Kluyveromyces lactis: one gene and its partner. The protein of the gene in region 2 interacts with the protein of the main gene of each other region in a biochemical or structural test. Links are inferred from orthologs where the notes say so. Each region holds a gene or a part of one and is shown on either strand. Other genes may lie near its edges.

What was found. The genes of interacting proteins can lie anywhere in the genome.
Region 1: the proteins of GLN3 (region 2) and URE2 form a complex in vitro, tested with the Saccharomyces cerevisiae proteins (2 studies listed by BioGRID). The link is inferred for Kluyveromyces lactis from reciprocal best matches to the Saccharomyces cerevisiae genes GLN3 and URE2.

What each region holds. Positions count from the first base shown.
Region 1 is NC_006040.1:1,654,249-1,657,235, forward strand, and holds URE2 (glutathione peroxidase), read left to right. Parts: upstream 1-1,297; coding exon 1,298-2,467; downstream 2,468-2,987. Other genes in the region: JJJ1 (Jjj1p), read left to right, coding at 1-710; ELA1 (elongin A), read left to right, coding at 2,874-2,987. UniProt on the Saccharomyces cerevisiae protein: Plays an important role in nitrogen catabolite repression. Down-regulates the expression of many genes involved in nitrogen utilization by inhibiting the GATA transcriptional activators GLN3 and GAT1.
Region 2 is NC_006037.1:119,920-124,204, reverse strand, and holds GLN3 (nitrogen-responsive transcriptional regulator GLN3), read left to right. Parts: upstream 1-1,474; coding exon 1,475-3,820; downstream 3,821-4,285. Other genes in the region: VRG4 (GDP-mannose transporter), read right to left, coding at 1-44; YEN1 (crossover junction endodeoxyribonuclease), read left to right, coding at 4,082-4,285. UniProt on the Saccharomyces cerevisiae protein: Positive nitrogen regulatory protein. Required for the activation of transcription of a number of genes (including the allantoin pathway genes) in response to the replacement of glutamine by glutamate as source of nitrogen.

The sequences.
Region 1 (2,987 bases), on a different chromosome or scaffold from region 2:
TCGCACTTGGGCTAGACAACATATCTGATGTGGATGAATTCAAGTCAGCATCAGAAACCTATTCAGATAATGAAACTAGTGGAAGCATACATCTATCCTCCCCTGATGAATTTGAAGAAATCGAGGAAAGCGACACATTTTCATTTTCTGATATAGATGCGGAATTGAAAAAAATTGACGAAGATCTTGACGCATTGAACTCAACTGAGTCGAATATAAACAATTTTATGTTAGAAACTTCTGAAGATGATAAACAGATTTCAGATGTTGAATATATCATTGACGATGAAGTAGATGAAAATATATCACAAAAGGTAGAAACAAATAATGCTACTCAAGTTTCCAAGAATGAAAATCAAAATAAAGACACAGAGCCCAAGGATGATTTAGCAATGCTTCTAGAATCCTTGAAGAAAGACAACGCAGATACTTCATGGGAACCTAAAAAGAAGAACAATGGTAAAAAAAATAAAAGCAGAAAAAAGCAGACGAACTCAACAACACAAATAGATTCAAACACCACTTCCGGGAACAATGCCGAGAATAAAATTTCGGCAGACATTGATAGTTTCATATGCTCAACATGTGGTGTTAAGTTTGATACTCGAAACAAAATGTTCAAGCACTTAGATTCCACAAACCATGCAGCCCCACTGTCGACTAATAAGAAAGGATCCAAGAAGCGGAATATCAGGAACAACAGTAAGTAAAAAAGAATGTCAATATCACAACCTTATCCATATTTTCTATGTAGATAGCAATTACATAAACTGGTCCTCGCTTGCCATGCGTTAGACGTATGCTCAGAGCGTCCATCCACTGGAGTTAGCAGTACTTCGCTCTAGCTGAGACTTTCTTACCCGGATACGTACGTAACGACAACGCCTTTCCTTGGTGACTTATCTAAGAAAAGTTTTCCTTTTTTTTTCTCGTCGGAAGTTCTCGTTACAATACCGATGCACACGCAGACAGACCCACCGAAGAATTGGAAATGAAAATGACCAGAATGGTGAAAAGCTAAAAAAACAATAGAAGAAAAAATAATGGAGCTGAATGTTAAATTTGGCTGACATAGATAAACTTCGGAACGCTTTCATTCGTTCATATGGGAAGTATCTGACCGATTACAAATCTAGTGTGGTTGATAACGGTACAAAATCAGCTGTAGCGAATTATTTCATATTTAGTATAGCGTTTCAGAGCTAGCAGAGAGTTTACTTTTGAACAGAGAGTTTCGTCTTCCTTTTTGGCATCGCAAGAGTATTCATAAGAAAGAGGATACAATTTTGAAAGCGAAATGCAACAAGATATGCAAAATGGTGGACCAGGGAACACCATCTCCAATCTATCTTCGGCGCTTCGTCAAGTGAATCTGGGCAACAGTAACACCACCACTGATCAGAGTAATATTTCCATTGATTTCAATCAGCAACAGTTATTGGAAGAAGCGAACCAAGGTTCCATTAACGCTTATAACGCTCAGCAGCAACAGCAAGAACATCTACAACAACAAGCACAGCAACAACAGTTACATATGCAACAACTGCAGCAAGCGCAACAGCAACAGGCACAGCAACAAGCACATCAGCAACAACAGCAAGTACATCAGGTTCAACACCAACATGTACAGCAAGACCACATGCCAATAGGACAGTCACAACAGCAAGCGATGTATCAGGGTCCAAATCCGATTGACAGCTCTAGAATTACTAAGTTTTTTCAGAATCAACCTATGGAAGGTTACACTCTATTCTCGCATAGATCGGCACCGAATGGGTTCAAAGTGGCAATTGTATTAAGCGAATTAAATATGCATTACAACACAATCTTTTTAGATTTCAACCTTGGAGAGCATAGGGCACCTGAATTTGTTGCCATAAATCCGAATGCTCGAGTCCCTGCCCTCATTGATCATAACATGGAAAACTTATCGATTTGGGAATCAGGTGCAATAATTCTCCACGTTGTAAATAAGCACTACAAGGAAACAGGCAATCCATTGCTTTGGTCTGACAGTCTTGCAGATCAAGCTCAAATAAATGCGTGGTTGTTCTTTCAAACATCAGGTCACGCTCCTATGATTGGACAGGCATTGCATTTCAGATACTTCCATTCCCAAAAGGTAAAGAGTGCTGTTGATCGGTATACCGACGAGGTTAGAAGAGTATATGGTGTGGTGGAAATGGCATTGGCCGAAAGAAGAGAAGCCTTGATCATGGATCTAGATTCAGAGAATGCGGCTGCCTACAGCGCAGGTACTACTCCTTTATCTCAAAGTAGATTCTTTGATTATCCTGTATGGCTTGTTGGTGACAAAATCACTGTGGCAGATTTATCATTTGTACCATGGAATAATGTTGTGGATAGAATCGGAATTAACATCAAAGTCGAATTCCCAGAAGTCTACAAATGGACTAAACACATGATGAGAAGACCGGCAGTTATTAAAGCATTACGCGGAGAGTAGATTATATAGCCTCATATAGATTCATGAATACAATGATAACCTCGCTTGAAAATGTAACAATCTCTGTCATTTATATTCATACACAATACCCGTAGTCTTGAGAGCATCAAGGTAGTATTAGACACATTTACAATTAGTTGAGGAATGTTGTGGAGTACTGTGCCCCTGCATGCCTTTCAGGTAAATGTTTCCGTGAACATCCTTCATACCTTTTTTTTTTTTTTCATTTTTAGATATATAAAAATAAAAAGTTGACTTTGGCTAGGGAATCACTCGCTTGCTCTACGTTTCGAAGCAGAACTGTCGATGGAAGAGGTTACGGAGACATGAATTATCAGCGTAGTGTTTAGCCATAAACCGCAGAAAACAAATTCCAATATATTTAAATAATCCACATGGTTTCAGTATGAGTGGACGTTTGCTTACATTAGAGGAAATATGTGTCATCACATTACTTCGACATCACACTTTAATTGAAGACATCAGTTATATTCCCTATAGGCTAATTAAAAGTGTCTTA
Region 2 (4,285 bases):
GCAACGTGGGACAAAGGCCCATTATCAACCTTTAATTGAGACATTTGTTATTTTCAATAGTATTTGAATTATCACGGATGTAAAAGTCTCAACAGTATGGAATATCAATTACAGTGATTTGGTGTATCAGAAAGTTCTTCAAGCGTTATCTTAACGGTCTTCTTTGTTTTCAACAACGTCCAAAATTCAGAAACGGAAAACCAAATTAAAGAATGATGCTTTAAATCAAACAAAATATAATTGACAATTGACCACGGTAAAAGAGGATTAAGTGGCTAAGGCAACAATACAATCTAATGAATCCTATCCCAAGTTCAAATTAAAAAACAGGTTTCCCAGTTGAAGTACCAGACACGCAATATTTATGTTGTTCACGCGTTAACTAACCGTATTCCTTATATGTATATATGCGTATTGGCATTTATTTATATATACAAAGTGAAATTCAAAGCTTTTTTTTCATCTTCAAAAAAATCGATTTCGTGCCTCTTGGGATAAATCTGTAAAGAATGTACATCGTACGAAGTGACTCAAGAAACGGTTCCCGACGTTACGGATACAATGGTCGAAAGCAAACGGTACACGGGATGCAGGCAGCATATTTATACCTTGCATCTCGTTAATGTTACAAGAATTTGTTAGTGTAAACATTAACTAATGGAAGAGTGAGGTGGTGGGTCTGGCACACCTTTTGATATCGTTCTTTTGGTTCTAATGATGAGAGAAAAAAGACGTATGCCGAAAAGTCTGGCCAGAAAAGCAAAATATCTGGTCATAGTGGGATGGGATAAGTGTCACACGAAATTACTGGTTCTAGTTGGACAAAGTACAGCCGAGGTAGAGCCTAGAATAGGAAGAGATCGACGTAAAGTTATTTGTAGAATACGTTGTTCCTTTGATAGGAATAATTCGGTGCCTGGTGATACGGTTGTATGACTATCAGACATATTTAATGTGTCGTCCCCAATTCTAGGATATACAGCATATACGAATGTTTAGATATGAAGATGACTATCCTAGAGCGTAAAAACACAGTCTATCTTTTATTAATAATTCGATACATTTGCTTCGTGAGAAAAGCAGTCTCATAGCTAGTTGTTTGAATTAAGACAGTCAGACTCATATGGTATGAGTCGATTCTGCTAAATTTTTTTTTTCTTTCGGTATGGAAACTATGAAATCTTTAAAATTATATAGTTTTCGAAAAGAAATAAGTGAACAAAGAAGGGCTTCACTGCAATAAGAAGTACAATGATTAACAAGGCTAAAGGGCAACAAAGGGTACAGCTGGGTCTTGAGTGTACCTTAATCAAAGAGATTATTTGTTATTTTTTTGGTCATATAAGGGGTACTGAATCCTTTTTATGATTATATTCAGTATTCTCTTATTATTATTTTGTTCATCAACTGTGGATATATAAGAAGAGAAATCACACAATCCACTTTTATCAACTTGATTAAATCTGTTCCAAAGATGTCGGACAGGGGTCTTCATGATCCCTTCGAACTGTTCGCTAGTACAGATTCTGGCGTGAGCCATGAGCCGTCGTGGAACCATACACAGTTTGATGCCATGTTGGAGATATTGCCTGAAAATCTGAACTTGGATGTTGGGGGACTGCAACAAGACACTTCGTCTCCTGTCGCTACTACTCTGAAATTCGAATCTAATACTACTACTACTACCATTACAAATGCTTCTATGAAAGATGATGGTAGCCCCGATGTTATTGGCGAAGAGGATGATGAAGGTGGCTGGAAAACACCTGTGGCAGAAATATCATCGCATAATGGGTTGAAAAGTAGGCCGATAGATATTGTTCAAAGTGTTACACCATCAACAACTGCAGGCCAGTTAATTGGGAACGACTTGAATTTGCAAAATGGTGAAATTGCTCAACTCTGGGATTTTAATGTCCATGAATTTATGATGACGCCGAGTGATCATAGTGATTCCGCAACGATAAGTGCCCCGTCATCTTTCAACTCAGAACAATTCACTCCAGGAACAACTACACCTGGCTTCAATCCCGCATCTAGCACGGCGTCCATAACTAATAATAATTACAATAATGGCAATAATAACGGCAACAATAATAATAATAATAATACCAACTCTAATTCGCATTTCCAAAACAGTTGGAATCACTTGTTACACCAGCAACATGATAATGGACCGAACAGCAGCTCTTTGGCGTACCAACACCCTAGATTATTCCAAAACAATAACTCTAGTCAGTCAACAATCAAAGCAGATGAATACCAACATAAACAACCTCAACTTCCGCGAAGAAGTAGTTCCAGAAATCTTCTTATTAAAAATGACATGAATGAAGATGGGGCTCTACCTCTACTTACACACACTACTACCAATCTTGTCAAGAAAAATTCCTCTGTGAAAAACCTTCCGACAACCACTCTACCTCAGTATAGAAGGTGTTCTTCGTCGACAAATATGCAAGTCATGAACGGACCTCCCGTGAACAATGGTGCTAAAGCAAATAAACCGCCAACGCAGTGCTATAATTGTAAAACTTTGAAAACTCCACTTTGGAGGCGTGATCCAGATGGTAATACACTTTGTAACGCCTGCGGTTTGTTTCAAAAGTTACACGGCACAATGAGACCTTTATCGTTGAAGAGTGATATCATAAAAAAGAGGAATACCAAGAAGAGAACCAAAAAAGATGACAAACCAGCATCAAATATGGAATTACAAGGACAGAATGATCATTCCACAAATAGAGGATCACAGTCTCCTGAGAAATTTCAAAGGAAACTTTCGGCAAAGCACACTTCAATTCAGCCGGCAGCTAATATTTATAACCAATCTGCATTAAGTCAAAACTCATTGAATAATCTCAACAAGAAGACGGCAACAAAATCCAGACGTTCCTCAACTTCATCCTCAACGTCCAGCAAGTCATCTTCATCAAGATCTGTTGTTCCAATTCTGCCAAAACCATCACCTGGGTCAAGGGAAAACACATTACAACAATTCCAATATCAAATTCAAATGCAAGTCTCTCAACCTAATAGCGCGGCATCTTCACCTAGATATTCGAATTCACCCAGGTTTTATCCAACGTCTCCTTCAACTGGTCTTGGTGTTTCAATACCCCGTCGCAAATCTTCGAGAACTCAAATATCCCAGTCATCATCATTTATGGCACAGTCACTACAACAGCTACAACACCAACAGCATAACTCCTCCTCAAATCATACTTCTGCAGGAATAAGCACTAACGGTAGTAACAGCCAGGCATCTACTGCAACTTCACAGAATGCGAACAATCTATCATCATCCACAAATTCTTCGAGCAACGCGACAATATCAGCACCGAATTCATGGGCCAATCATTCTCTGTCACAGCCGCAAAACATTGCATCACCCAACTCATCAAGATCACCGTTTGAGCTATTTTCAAATCCAAACTCCCAACCAAAGAAGTCACACAAATCTTTACTTTCCCAGCAATTACAGAATTCCTCTAATTCATCTTCAAGCTCCTCATCATTTGTTGAAAATGCTTCTTCTGGTCAACAGTTGTCACAAACACCACCATCACATCATAGCCAAACACAACAAAATTTTGGCTCTTCAGTACCAGCAGCATCGCCAAGAAGCAGTTATGTAGATACCCTTCAACAACAAAGAGGTATACTGCAATACGAACAGCAACAAGTGGCTAGACGAAAGACTCCATCAACCAGGCAATCCAACCCTTCATTGTTCGAATCATCGGGCTCGTCTCTTTCGAAACCAAAAAAGGAAAACAATGTAATGGATGATTTGGATTGGTTGAAGTTTGGCATGTAACAATTCATAGGATAGTACAATAATTTTTAAATGTAACCATAAGGCTTTGTTGAATAACTCATTACTCCTGTATGATTTCTTCTGCCATTCTCATATATTCTTATTTTGTAATGCTATCATAACTATTATATAGGAATGATTTCATCAAAAAAAATTAAGGTACAATACAATGCATAGGCAATTAATTCTCTATCGACTTAAATGAACAATGCTGAGAAATCAAGAAGGGTCCGCCGAACTGACAGATAAATAAATGGTCATATGGGATCAAGTGAATTATGGAACCAAATATCCCAGTACAACGTACCCCGTGTTGCATTTAAGCAATTTGTTGCAGAGTTTGTTGAGAAGAATGGAAGGTTCCCAAGAATTGCCATAGATGGATACTTATGGTTATTCGAATGCGGGTATTTCGATGAACCACAAAACAAATCGAAGACATTGTTAAATTGGTTAAGGAAATTA